Linked DNA regions of Tamandua tetradactyla. The protein of the gene in region 2 purifies or fractionates together with the protein of the main gene of each other region. This does not show direct contact. Links are inferred from orthologs where the notes say so. Each region holds a gene or a part of one and is shown on either strand. Other genes may lie near its edges.

Region 1 (7,205 bases), on a different chromosome or scaffold from region 2:
TATTGACTGCTGAGTGTTGATTTTTTTTCTTTTTAATTTTAGGACCAATGACTTTCTAGGGACATCTCAGTAATTTTTTTTTAATAATTATTATGCACTTCCTCTTGCTTATGTTTTCACCTTATAGCAGCATTTCCATAATGAAGAATCAGGACACAGATCCAAGCAAGAATAGGATATTCATTCATTAACTGTTTTGAAAAGGTAACTCAAACCAGGCCAGAAACTGCAATAATATTTTTGAAAAGATAGAATGCTCAACAAGGTCTTCTCTCAGTTAACAGCTGGAAAATCAAGCTGTTTAGGATGTAGATAATAATTTTTTAAACCGGAGATGAAAACCTCAGTTATTTTTAATGTAACAAATTATTAACATAATGTAAATTAACTAGAAAAATACAAATATTTTATGAATATGAAAGCTAGTCAGTAACTGAGGGGGAGAAAATGACCTTGCTCTATGCACTGCTACAGTAGTGACAAAAGATTATGTAAACAAACTAACTCCCTCAATGAACTTGTTTCCAAAGACTGTCTATGATGCCCTTGTAATTAAACACTACTGACTTGAAACTACAGTGTATCCTGAGATTTCAAGCCAACATTTGTCCCTAAGGGCCAGGTTATCCTAATTATTAAAACAGCTACTGCAATTATAATAGTTGCTGGTCAAAGAGAATTTAACCAAAGCCTGGTCACATTGTTCTCTTTCAAGTTTTGTTCTTTGAAAGTACCATGTTTTATTATACCACATCTGCCTCATAAACACAGAGTAAGAGAAATATTGGTTCAAATTAATTACATAAACTTAATGTTATTACTCAAACTGAATGAAATTTAAAGCTTTGATATATTGTTTCTTAGGGTAGAACTAGCTTCTTGGAAAGAAAGTATCAATCAGAATTTGGCCCAGCTACATAACCTTCTGAAAGCAGTCTTCAGTTGACTGGTTTTTGCAGCTCCATTCCTCAGTTAGACCGACTAGCATTTGAACACTCCATCAGCCAAGGTTCCAGTGAGCTCACATTTGCCCACAGGAATTCCACATCACCTCATTTTCTTTCCTACTGAAAAAGTACACTGGAAAATACAATATGTTTTAGTACTTCCTATAGTACATAAATAGAAAAGACTTGCTCTGTATTACTTCAGAATCATTAGCAATTTCTGTTCATTAGCCCAAAAACACAACCCAAAATTGAAATGTGCTCACTGTTCCACGAAGCACCTTCCCTTTTCAAAAAGCCTGCTCTTTATCCACTTTACGCTATTTATTGTTTTCAGGAATGAAAAGCAGTAACAATAACTAATAACAAGACCCACATGTTTTATAAACAATAGCGAAACAAGATCACTTTTTTTTAGTTCTGAAATCTAATTGTCATCTGGCTAGAAAGATGAAGAACCCCACCCATAAAGTCCCCTATCTGCACTCTTCCTGACTTAGGTTTATTAGACACAACGTTGGAGCTTCTTTCTTTCCACATCTCCTAGAACTGCCCTTTCCTTCAGGCGTCTGGGATATAGCTTTTGCCTCACAATGAAGTCCATGCCCATTCCTACTGACCTGGCGACTGGGGGATCACCACTATCTAAGCAATTGCAGGGAAAGAAAGGGAAAACCCAACTCAAGAGTCTCAGTCCATACTGGTTTTTTTCTTCTCCAAAATAAAGAACCTTAAGCACTGACTAAAGGTTCTCAATCAATTTATGTACAAACACACACACACACCACCAAAAAAGTCAATCACACCCATTCAGTGCCCTGGACACACAAATCTGCAAGTAGGAAAAAGGAAAAAAAAGGTTTGAAACAGGAAATAAGCAATCAATTAAAAATCAGAATTCTAGTCTTTCACTTCTCAAAATAATCCTTTTCCCCCAGACAGGCAACTGCTCTCCCTAAATACCAAACTTGGACTTTTAAATCAAAAGAATTTTAAATCAAGTTCTTTTTCTATTGCCATTTGCAGTTCTTGTTGAAAGGAAGGACTTGTTCTGGTCCCACAAGTTGGAAAGTTCATGTTCCTATAATTAAGAGTTTGTATGCCACGCCTTCCACCACATTTCCCTGTTAAAATTCCCTTCTCTAAAAATGCTCCCTGAAAACACAACTACAGCCCTCATTCTTTTCTCAAGCAACCACAGGAAACAGATCTGAAGATTCTCAGCAGCTTTCTTAACCCCTCCAGATCACAAAGTTGGCAACTGAAAGGGATTCTCTGTTAAAATGTAAGCACGAATTAAAAAAAAAAAATTGTAAGCGTGAATAAGATCTGAAGAATTGGTGTTTTAGAGGTGTAACCCCCCCCAAGAAACCAGTTTTTCCCACAAACTCATAATACACCCCAAATAAATTTCTCACATCCTGCCTGGAATATATAAAGGGATGGTTTAACGCTGATATTCTTTTATTTATATTGGTATATAAAAGGCCATGGGCGAACTGAAAATACACACACAAAAAAAAGTGTTTTTTTTTTCTCTCAAAGACCATAATATTTGAATCACTGATCCATAAACACTTCTCTGATTGGGGTTTTCAAATACTATTGGGAGACCAGGGTGTGGGGAACACAGAGGAGACCTTACATGTCCAATCCTGTGGTATTTTTCACATATAGGCTAGTTCGAAGCCACCACCACCCCGGCCCCCCAAAGTGCCCGTTACCATTGGGAAACAGGAGAGTTGGAAAAGGAAATTCAGCCTGGGAAGAGGAGGGGCAGCTGCAACACCCAGCTGCAACCACACAACGGTGCCACTTTCCTCCCGTCCCCAAGTGGAGCAAAACACCCTTACCTAGAGGGGTGGTGAGCCGCCGGCACTACTTCCAAAAGTTGTGGTTCACCTTCCCTCGGAGTTCAAAGTCCCAGCACTCCGTCCCCGGCGCAGGCTCGCCCTACACAACTCCTCTGCCGTCGCGCTCCAGCCTTTCCCCACCCTCTCTCCCCTGCACCATGTCAGGAATCCGGGCCAGCACCGCGCTGGGAGCTGACATCACTCCCAGTTCCAGGTACCTCCCCCTCCCACTGTCGCCTTCTCTCCTCCCTCCCTCCAAGAATTAGCCAAAGAGAGTTAGCAAGGGCGGGGTGGTGGCAGCGCCTGGGCTCCGGCTGATTGGACCCAGGGAAAGTCACTCAGGGGAGTCAACTTATTTTATACATTCCTTGCTGAGCGAGACTTCGGCTGGAAGTGGGTGTTGATGGAAAAAAAATGCTGCCTTCCCTGCTATCTCTAAAGAATGGAGATAATGATACAAGGAAGCCCTTGCAGATCGAGTTTTAAACTTTCTTGGCATATTTACTATATGCCAGATCAGAAACGAAACTAAGCCCCCTTGTTAAGGGGAAAAAAAAAATGCCTCTGTCACGGGCAAGTACGATTCCAGCGGCGCGTGGTGCAGAAAATGGCTTGCTTTACTCATGCAAATAAAGGAAAACGCCAGCTCTTCATTCTCCCCTTTTATCTTGGGACTGGTGGGTGTTCCCTTAGAATGAGAACGTGGAACTTCAAAAGCCTTTGGAAAGATTTGAAAGTGAATCCTAGAAACGGCGACTCAGCTCTGAATTGTTCACTGGTGGCGGCGTTATCAACCATGTGGCTGCTTTTCTTTCAGCAATAAAATCACACCACACAAGCTTCCAAGCAAATAAAATTGAACCTCTGGGGTAAGAAAAAAATTACTACCTACCTTTTTAGGGACTCTACTGCTGTTTTAATGCCTAACTGAGAGGGGGCAGGAGGGATGGGAATGGGGACACAATTCATTTCAACAAATCACATGAGAATAATTACACTTCAATAGAACCTATTGGAGTAGCTGAACTATCAATTAAGAATTAGCTGACATTGATCTTTGACGGATATCATGCTGTATAATCCCCTTGGCTTATAAACAAAAAGATTCCCAGGAGAGGGTTCTTTCAATTTACATAATAGCTGCTTCAAGGCAGAACTGAATGGTGAAAAGTGGCTTTATCTGTAAGGTAGCATACTATCTACCTATCATTTTGAAGTACAATGAATTACTTTTTGGTGCTATTTATTTTTTTAATTGATGACAACACACCATATATTTCACCATTCTGCCAAAAAAAAATTGTAGAGGGACAAAAGCGTTGGCAATGTGTATTATTTAACCCTTATAATCATCCTTGTTACCTCCATATTAACAAGGAATCAAAGGCTCAGACAGGTTACCTAACTAAATTGCCCCTGTTCACCCAGAACTGGAATGGAAACAATGTCTGCTTGTCTCCAAAGGCATTTTTTCTTTTTATATCTAAAGTATTGATTATCTATACCTCTCAGACACCACATACTAAAAAAAAATCTACAGACCCAGGCCACTGCTGTCACAGACCTTATTTTACATTATTACCATCATGTTTTCTGTTCAGACTTACACTATCCCAAACTCCTAACCTACATTTCTTACTCCACTTTTCCCCATCACTAATTCTTTATATGCACCGCTACCAGGTGAGTCTTCTAAAACAATGTTTGGTTTTGTCATCAACATCCTCCCCTCCAAATCTGGTCCCCCTTTCCCTGCGACTCTTTTCTAGCCATTTAAAACTCTCCCTAATTTGGTATCTATTTACCTTTCCCATTTTATTTCCCACTTTACTCTGAGAAACCCTCTGCTGCAGACTAATAAGGTCTACTCAGTTCCATGCTTGGTTCTCACCTTTTGGCCTAACTGAATACCCACTCTTCCATGTAGTTAGTCCCACCTTTCCCTCAAAGCCCAGCTCAAGTCCTTGTCCTCCACCATGCCCTGGCTGTGTACTACAGTAGACAGAAATAGGGTTTTGGGTCCATCTCCCAGCTCTGCCTCTTAGATCCTGTGTGGCCTTGGACAAGTCACTAAACCATTCTGAATCTCTATAAAAATGGGGCTGATGATACTACAAAGGTTATGGTAAGCATTATTGAGATTGTACAGATGTGTAATACATGGTAATATATGTCTCATTATACCCATTTCATGTCTTCCCATATCCTGAACAGCAAGCTCTGTGCTTAATAACCTCTTTCTATTCCTTATGCCCATTTCGTGGAAAAGGCCAAATACTAAAGTGGGCTACAGATAATGGATCCTTATATCACTTCTAACTAGCCTGGATTCCTTAAATGCTCCCTGTCCTCACTCAAATACTCTCTTAGTCATAAACTTCAACTATCTTCTCTTTCTTTTTATGCTTCCACTAGAACCCTTCCCTTCCCCCAGCCTCTCACCATTCATTCAATGTAACTTCCTCAGATAATCTTCTGGACCAACCACCCATTTAACCTGTCCCTTAGAGTCACTCATAATTCCTCTTCCCTCACTCTCTGGGACACACTAGTCTATCAGTGCCTCTCGTCTGCCTTGCTCCCCAAATCCCTTCAAATAGCTGCTGGGTTGCTACCAAGCATTCCTCCAGCCCCAGTCTTAGGATGGCTGCATCTCACTCACAGCTCACATTCTCCAGAAACTACAACCAGCAGCAAGAGATGAGGGAGGGACTGTCCCACCCCCAAAAGGATGGCAGGATAGAATAACAGGAAGTCGCCTCCCATTCCCTCTGCAGCTGGAGTGATAACAGCTGCCATCGGAGTTTAAAACACAAAAGACTTGAGGAAAGCTGAAAACAGGGAAGTCTAGAGCAGTAGTGCTCAAATCAGGGGTTACGTGGTAGGGGTGAAAAAGGAACCAATGGGTGAGATTTCAAGCTCCCTTCCCCTTCTCCCTTTAATCAGAGTTAAAGTAGCTTGGCTCCTACCTGTTTTACATCCAGCCTTTCCCTGTCATGTTTCATTTTAAAAAGTGGTTCTAACACTTAAAAAAAAGTATATTAAACCACTGGCCTCTGGGTCTCTTGAGGAAACTCCAAGGGATCAGGACACTGTAGCAGAAGCAAGACAGGATACCTGATGGGCAGCTGAAAAGTTAGCAAAAGTACACTGCAAAAGCAGGAGAAAACCTGCACAGAATAACAAAGGCAGAACTTGAAATGGGCCCTAAAGGTCATCTTGACCTTTTGGAGTGAGAACCCCTGCTATAGTATTCCTGACAGGGTGCCTTCTAATCCCTGCTTGAATTTATCTGACAGCAAGGAGCACACAAGCTAGGAAAGCAGCTCATCATTAAAGATCTTTCTCATGGCCAGCTGGAAACTGCTTTTCTGACTTTTTCCCCAAAGGCTCCAGTTCTGCCCTCTGGAAGAAGAGAGAAAAAGTTGGCTCCTTTTGTAACTTCATCCCCAACTTGTGTAAGCATGAAAACACAGTCCCTACTTAGTTTGTTTAGATGCTCACCCAACTCGTCAAGTTCATGTCATTTTACTGTCTATCTTTACAGGCTTCTGGGTGCATGCTTCTTAAGTACAGCCCAGATCACTCAACTCCTTTCAAAACACTTAACTGCCTCCCTCTTCCCAGAGAACAAAGCCTAAATTCTGGACTTGCATCCAGAATTTCCATCCCCATCCTCAACTTACATTTCTAAACTCAAAGTCCACACTTCCTCATACTCATACTACATAGCCATATTCTCTGATACTGTCTTCTCAGTTAAAGAATGACTTTTGCCTATTGCTTAGTGAGTTCAGAGTTTCTGTTTGAGGTGATGAAAAAGTTGGAATAATGATTACTGGTGATGTCAGCACAATATCATGAATGTAATTAGCACTACTGAATTTAGCACTCAGAAGTGGTTAAAATGGGAAATTTTGAGCTGTACATGTTCCTACAATAAAAAGTTTTAAAAAATGTTTGACTGTTGCCCTTTTCTTCACATCTTTATGCCCTATCTTCAAGGCCTAGTTCAAAGACACTTTTACCACAAGACTTCCCTGAACCCTTAACTGGAAGTAATAGCTCCCTCTCCTAAAACATAAATGACTTATTACAGTTCAAGGCAGATATGGGGAGTGAGAGTGTGGGCTTTAAAGAAGGTCAGGCCTGGTTTTGAAATCAGGCTGCAAGATCTCAAACCACTTTTTGAGTCTATTTCCTCATGCTGAATGTGAAGATGAATACTAAAAACCACCTCACAGGGTTGCTTGAGGATCTGATGAGGTATCAGACACAAGGTCTCAGGTTAAATTGTCTGACACATAATAGGTCATCAGTAAACAGATGTTCCTTTTTTTATGGCATAAAACAACTGTACTCTTATTTTGTGGGGGGCGGGGGGGGAATGCATGGTCCGGGAATT
Region 2 (6,873 bases):
TGGGATCTCAGTCCCTTCCTCCTCTGGGCACCTGGATACCCTGCCCCAAGTCTAGGCTATCACAGACAGTTAGCTGCCCCCCCCAGCCCCCCACCAGTCATGACCGTGAGGCCATTTGCTCCATGGGGTCTGCAGAAGGGACTCAGTAGGGAGAGAGCCTGGCCCCTGCTGCTCTGCGGTGCAGGGCTCCCGTCCCTGTCCCTGGGGGAGGCGGTGGTGAGTCACAGGCTCACATGGAAACAACTCTCCTGCCTGGCTGCCTTAGGGTTCCCCTGGCAGGGCATCGGCCCAGAAGGGTGGGGGGAGGGGATGGTGAAATTGGGGTTGGGGGGAGGTGGGCAACTCCAGGCAGCGCTTCTTGGCCTCTAACAGAACAGGGCACTTCTACAAAGAATCTTCTATCTCAAGAACCCCCAGGTCGGGGGTGGCCTCAGGGTGGGGCCATCAGGGTGGGGTCAGCACTGGAGCCAGCAGGGCCTCCGGAGACCATCTGGCCCGGATCCCCGGCTGGACCTGAAAGGCGGAACTAACCACATTTCACACACCAGGCTAGAGAGGGGCAGAGGCGAGCCTGGAGGATTTTCCTTGAGTTTGGGGAGGAGGGATTGTAGGGGAGGGTGTTGGGACGTCCCTCCAGGCCTCCCCCCACCCCCCAGCCCCACCTGCTATGTCCAGCTTCTCCAAACGCCTGAGGACAAGTCAGCCCTGGGTGAGGGTCTCTGTGCAAATTCTTACAAGAAGGAGCTCTGGGGTCCTGAAGGGGGCTGCATCTCAGAGAGTGGCACAGAGTGGGATTGCCACCTTCCTGGGTGCTGGGGGCTGAGAAAAGGTGGGATTCATCAGGAACCCGCAGGGGTGCAAGTGGTGGGGTGGGAGACACCCTCTTTCCTTGAGGGACATGCAGTGATGTTGGGGAAATAAGATCTTTGTTGAGAAAAATCACAAGGGGTGGGGGTGGGGAGGCAGTAATGAGATGAGTTAAGAGGAGCTGGTGGGGCCTAAGAGGGCTTCTCAGAGCTAGGGTAGCTTCTGGGGCCCCACACCTGACAGAGACTGAGAGAGGCCTGGGAGCACAGAGGGCAGAGGTGAGCAGGGACGCTGGCCTGGGACCCCACCATGAGTCGCCCTCTTGCTCTGTTGCAGAGAGAATGACCTGTCCCCTGGAACAGGCACTGGACACCATCCTGGAAGTCTATCGAAGATATGTCACCGCAGACGACAGGCCCACGCTTTGCCAGACTGAGCTCAAATTGCTGCTGCAGAGGGAGCTGCCCACTTGGAGGCCAGTGAGTACCCGGATGTGCCTCTCCTTCGAGTCTGCAGAGTCTGGGCCACCCACGAACAAAGGAAAGTGAGAAGGGAGGCTAGGAAGGGACCCACCTGGCAAGCAGGTGCCTCAGTTTTCTCCCCTGTAAAACGAAGTGACGACAGTCCCACCTGCTGCATTGGGAGGGTTGAGTGCAAACACCGTGAAGAATGCCTGGCATATAATAGGCGCTCAGTAGCAAACAGTTGGTGCTCAATAAATGATCTGAGAAGGAAGATTTGGAGTGGGTGGGCAGGGTTGAAATAGGTATGCAACTGGAACCGGCTGGCTGAGGTTGGCCCTCCGAAGCAGTGTGGATTGGGAGGAGAGGGGCTTCCTCGGAGGGGAGGGACAGAAGAGGGCCAGTCCCCCTCCCCCAGCTCCTCACCCCTCCCCCCCGCTCCTCACCCCTCCCCCACCTCCCGTCGCACAGACTGAGCTTCGGGAGTGTGACTACAATAAATTCATGAGCCTTCTGGACACCAACAAGGACTGCCAGGTGGACTTTGCGGAATACATGCGCGCACTTGCCTGCCTCTGTCTCTACTGCCACGTGGCTTGGAGAACTGTGCCCCGGAGGCTCCCTGCGCCCCGGAGACTGCCTGTGCCCAGTAGCCTGCGCCCAGGGGGCCGGGAGGTCCGGACTTGCCCCGCCTCTGCCCCGCGTGGTCCGGGGCAGGTCACCAACAGTCTCCCACATGCCCCTCTGCCCTCCTTCCTAAATCTCTCTTTTTTTCCTCTTTTTGGGGGTGTGTGTGTGCCTGGGCTGGGAATCGAACCGGGGTCTCCCACATGGCAGGCGGGAATTCTACCCTGAGCCGCCCCAGCACCCACCTATACTCTTTTTAATGAGGGATCTGCCAGGTCCACCCCGATATGCCGCCCCATATCATAGGCTGCGCCGCAGTGAGGGATACAGCAGCCGCGGGCCCCTCTGCGCCCCCTCTTCTGCCTCCCTGCTGCGATGCCGGGCCCGGGGGCGGGACGCGGGGCTGCTGGGGGGAAGTGAAGACCCGGCAGAGCGTGGCCCCAGTGAGGCCGAGCACCCAGGGGCCCAGTGAGACCGAGCACCCGGGGGCCCAGTGAGACCGAGCACCCGGGGGCCCAGTGAGACCGAGCACCCGGGGGCCCAGTGAGACCGAGCACCCGGGGGCCCAGTGAGACCGAGCACCCGAGACCCCAGTGAGACCGAGCACCCGAGACCCCAGTGAGACCGAGCACCCGGGGGCCCAGTGAGACCAAGCACCCGAGACCCCAGTGAGACCGAGCACCCGAGGTCCCAGTGAGACCGAGCACCCGGGGGCCCAGTGAGACCGAGCACCCGGGGGCCCAGTGAGACCGAGCACCCGAGACCCCAGTGAGACCCAGCACCCGAGACCCCAGTGAGACCCAGCACCCGGGGGCCCAGTGAGACCGAGCACCCAAAAGGCAGTTTAACTCCTAATAAAGAGCTGGTGTCAGCGTGGCTGGTTTGGTTCTGCTGAGAGGACAGGCCGGGTCTTGGGGCGGCCGCTGGCTGAGGCTCTGCCCTACCCGGGCCTTTGGGGGGAAGCGGGCAGCTGAGGGGCCCCCGAGCAGCCCACGCACCCCAGGGCCGTTTCAGACCCGGAGGAAATGACCTGGTCTCAGCAGCCCGGCAAAAGGGGTGGGGTCCCACGCAGTGACTCCCATCCTGGGGGAGGGGCCACAGGGCCTCTCTCTGGGGCCCCTGAGGGTGGAGTGCCCTCCAGGCGGGGCAGCCAGTGGTTCAGCGGGGACAGAAGAGCTGAGCTCGACCCAGCCCAGCCCTCGTGACAGGATGCTCTGAGGCGGGTGGGGCCGTGGGGCGGGGTGGGGGGGGTGTATGCCCAGCCCAGGGCTGAGGGAGCCCTGAAAACAGGATTCATGGGTTTAGGATGTCTGAAGTGTCTGCACCCAACCAAGGAGGGGTGCCCTGTGTTGGAAGGGGTAGGGGAGACCTTGGGGCAGACCCCATTCCTGAGGTCATAGTTACCGAGGGCCCAGACCCCCACTTCCGAGCTTCACTCTATCCCTGGGGTCCTCCCCCACCCTGAGCCTCAATGCCCCCGCCCCCGCCTCATCAGCTCAGCCCATCAGCCCAAAACCCCCATCCTTGAGCTCAAGCCCCTCCCTGGAAACTTAACCCTCATCCCTGACTTGTCCCTATGGGACCATTTCACCCCTGACTCCTGCCCCAACCTGGCTTCTGAATTCCTGACACGCACCCCTACGCCAGCCACCCCCACTCCCACCCCTGTCCCTAACCACCCCACCCTTGTTTCTTCACCCCATCTCTGAGCCCCGTCCCCCTCCACCACTGCATGCCACCTCACCCAGGTCCTTTGTTGACAGACATTCTGGGGCGTCCTGAGCCTGCTTTGGGTGTCAGCCAGTTCCCCGTCCTGAGTGCCCCCTGTTCCCCGACCCCATCACCATGGCAGGTGCCCTTTGGGGAGGGGAAGGGCTGATTGAGCCTGGGGCTCCCCACCAAGCCCCATACTGTCAGGGGCATTTGCCATCCTTCCCCCACCACCCCTGAACCCCTTTTCCCAGGCCCTCCTACTCCCTGACCCCCACATTCCATTCACACACCGCCCCCTCCTCTAGCTCCAGGAACCCCAGGTTGAGCTCTGTGCGCTGGGCATGCCCACCCAGCGGAGGTGTCTGCCCAGGCTCACTGGTGCCCACCCACTGTCCACCTGGGCCTGCCCGGGGGCAGGAAGCTTGGTTTCCTGGGCAGGATGGTCGAGGGGGCTGTGGCAAACATGGGCCCACAGCAGGAGGCCAGTCTCCCGCTTTCCCCCATCCCCTGCCATGGGCAGGGCTTGGCCCCGGGTATAAATAGGTCAGACCGCTGGGCTTTCCCCACTCTTCTGTCCCCAGCCCTCTCTCTTTGGCGCTTCCTCTCACTTGTCCTGGTGAGTTGTGGCTGCTTGGCTGGCATGCAAGGGGTGTCTGACCCAGGCTCCGGGGCAGGAGAAAGGGAGGTTGGTGGGGACCAGATGTGCTAAATGGATCCAGATGTGCAATTCAGATGTGGAGGCTCTGGGGTGGGATGTGTGTGTGCAAGAGAGAGAAACAGAAAGTGTGCAGGTGTACTGAAAGGCGGGGGCTGCAGGCAGTGTTGTTGGGGTGTGCTGTGGCATGTGTGTGACCCATGGCTTGTGCTTGCTGGGTTGCATATGGCCATGTGCGTACGCCCAGCAGTGGGAGGCAGATGGAGGCAGAAGGCACTGTGGGCTTCTGTCCGGCAGTGTCCCAGGAGCCTCTGCCCTGCACGGAGCAGCCCAGCCCGGGAGAGCCCGGCTTCCCCTCCCCTCCTCTAGTCTTTCTTCCCTTCTTTTTCCTTCTCTCTTCTCCCCCCTCCTCTTCTCCCCTCCCCTCCCATGCCTGCCTCTGCCACCTCACCCTGCCCCTCCCTAGGCCCGGCAGCTGGTTTTTTCCGCTCCAGGCCCCTGGGCTGGGCTCCAGCAGCCACACCCAGCCTGGAAGCAAGAAGAATGGCTCAGGGTGGAGCCGCTGCCCGGCTGGGGGAGTGGGGGGGTCTGTAAGGGGTGGAAACAACACTGTGGTTGAGACACGACCTGAGTGAGGCCCAGGGTGCTGGCGGCTTGAATCTCCAGAGCCTGTGCAGTGGACCCTGCCAATGTTTGCTGCCTGGAGCTTGCATCTCCCACTCTATACAGCCCCTGACGCCACCAGGAGCTGAGCCCCGCCTCTGTAGGCTCCCCCCACGGCAGGACCAGAGTCTCATCAAATGCTCCATGAGGGGTGGGGAGTGGGTTGGGGGCTGTGGATGCTTAGCTGGCACGTAGGGTAGATAAGGGTGCCTCTGTGAACCCCCCCACCCCCAGATCCTGATTGCTGCCATGGCGTACCCCCTGGAAAAAGCCCTGGATGTGATGGTGTCCACCTTCCACAAGTACTCAGGCAAGGAGGGTGACAAGTTTAAGCTCAATAAGTCAGAGCTAAAGGAGCTGCTGACCAGGGAGCTGCCCAGCTTCTTGGGGGTAAGTAGGTGCCCAGAAGAGGGGCGAGGCCCTGGAAGGTGCTAGTCTTTGCTACAGGTGGTATCTCTCACTGGAAGGGGGAAGGAGGGGGCAGAGAGCTTGCCCTGGCTGCCTTCAGAGAAAGACAGCCGGTGCCCAGCATGCACGGGTCCCCGGCGCAGGCTGATGGAGGGTGAGTTACCAGCTGGACGTGCAGCCAGGTGCTTTGTACTTATTATGTAACTTAGCTGAAGGGAAAGCTGACGCTCAGGGAGGCTAAGTAACTTTGCAAAGTGGTCCATGCATGCAACCGAGAGCTGCACCAGGACTCTTGCTGCCACTCTAGCAATGGAAAAATTTTGAGCTTCTATTTGGCTTGTGAATGTGCCGATGTAGCTATGGAGGCTGGCATACGCCTACAGATCTCCCCTCAAGCAATAAAGCAGCTCTCATCCATGTCAAACCGTCCCTTGTGTGCTGTTTTATGGCCATTACCTAAATGGAGTCTTAAAACAGCCTTGGGAAAAGATGTCCCGCCTTTTCAGTTGACAGCATCCAGGTAGGTATTCAGCAGAGTCCTTCTCACCCAAGGGACAGCCTCCTCCTGCACTAGCTTCGCCCTGAAGGTGGAAGGTCCTAAAGCCTGGGCTTCCCAAGGAGTGGCCAAGCACCTTCTCGAGCCCAGATCTGGGGGGGCACTCGGTTCTCGTCTGGGCTTCACTCCCTAGGCTATGGCGCTTGACCTGTCGCCTCCTCACCTGTCGCCTCCTCTCTCTCCAGAAAAGGACGGACGAGGCCGCCTTCCAGAAGCTGATGAGCAACTTGGACAACAACAGGGACAATGAGGTGGACTTCCAGGAGTACAGCGTCTTCCTGTCCTGCATCGCCATGATGTGCAACGACTTCTTTGAGGGCTTCCCCGACAAGCAGCCCCGGAAGAAATGAGTGACCCCGAGCTGCGGCTGCGGGGGCTTGGCCGGGCCTTGGCTGGGGGCCGTGGGGGCGGTGCCTTCCCCTGGCTCCTCCAGACTCGTGTGTGATGCTGAGCAACTCCAATAAAGAGTCTTGAAAGCTTTAAGGCTGCTGGTCTGAGAGACTTGGTGTGCGGGGTAGGGGCCGGGGGATACGTCCGGGGAAGGCGCAGGCTCATGGAGAGGCAGCTCAGCTGCAGATTTTTGGGGAGCAGACTAGTGGAGGGGAGCTGACCAGGATATGTGCATGGGGAAGGGGCCGGGGAGGACAGAGCTGGCTTTGGATGGCGCTAGGAGCAGGGAAAGGGACCACCGGAGACCAGGGGATCACAGCCAGCCAGCTCACCCCACCCACCCCTCTCCAATCTTGCCTGTGGCAGGACCTCTAACTGAGGCCCAGATGGGATGGAAGGTCACATCTGCTCCTGGTTGGGGTCTGGAATGGGCTTGGGTTGCCAGGGAGTGAGATGGAAGGAAGGAGTCATGGGGAGGGAAGGGGGGATGTAGCAGGCCGGGTGTGTGGGTGTGAGAGCCCGGGGCCACAGGGGGCGGGGAGGAGGGCTGGCCCGCAATCCTGACATTTGCAATCAGGACCCACAGGGACAGA

The links. Proteins that work in one complex are often made in the same cells at the same time.
Region 1: the proteins of protein S100-A4 (region 2) and PPFIBP1 purify together in Homo sapiens (co-immunoprecipitation; 3 studies listed by BioGRID and IntAct, with this or other methods). This does not show direct contact. The link is inferred for Tamandua tetradactyla from reciprocal best matches to the Homo sapiens genes S100A4 and PPFIBP1.

Annotation. Positions count from the first base shown.
Region 1 is NC_135333.1:90,538,787-90,545,991, reverse strand, and holds the start of PPFIBP1 (liprin-beta-1), read right to left. Parts: upstream 3,020-7,205; 5' UTR 2,801-3,019; intron 1-2,800. UniProt on the Homo sapiens protein: May regulate the disassembly of focal adhesions. Did not bind receptor-like tyrosine phosphatases type 2A.
Region 2 is NC_135330.1:6,367,895-6,374,767, reverse strand, and holds protein S100-A4, read left to right. Parts: upstream 1-4,161; 5' UTR 4,162-4,224; intron 4,225-5,160; 5' UTR 5,161-5,175; coding exon 5,176-5,316; intron 5,317-6,075; coding exon 6,076-6,240; 3' UTR 6,241-6,373; downstream 6,374-6,873. UniProt on the Homo sapiens protein: Calcium-binding protein that plays a role in various cellular processes including motility, angiogenesis, cell differentiation, apoptosis, and autophagy.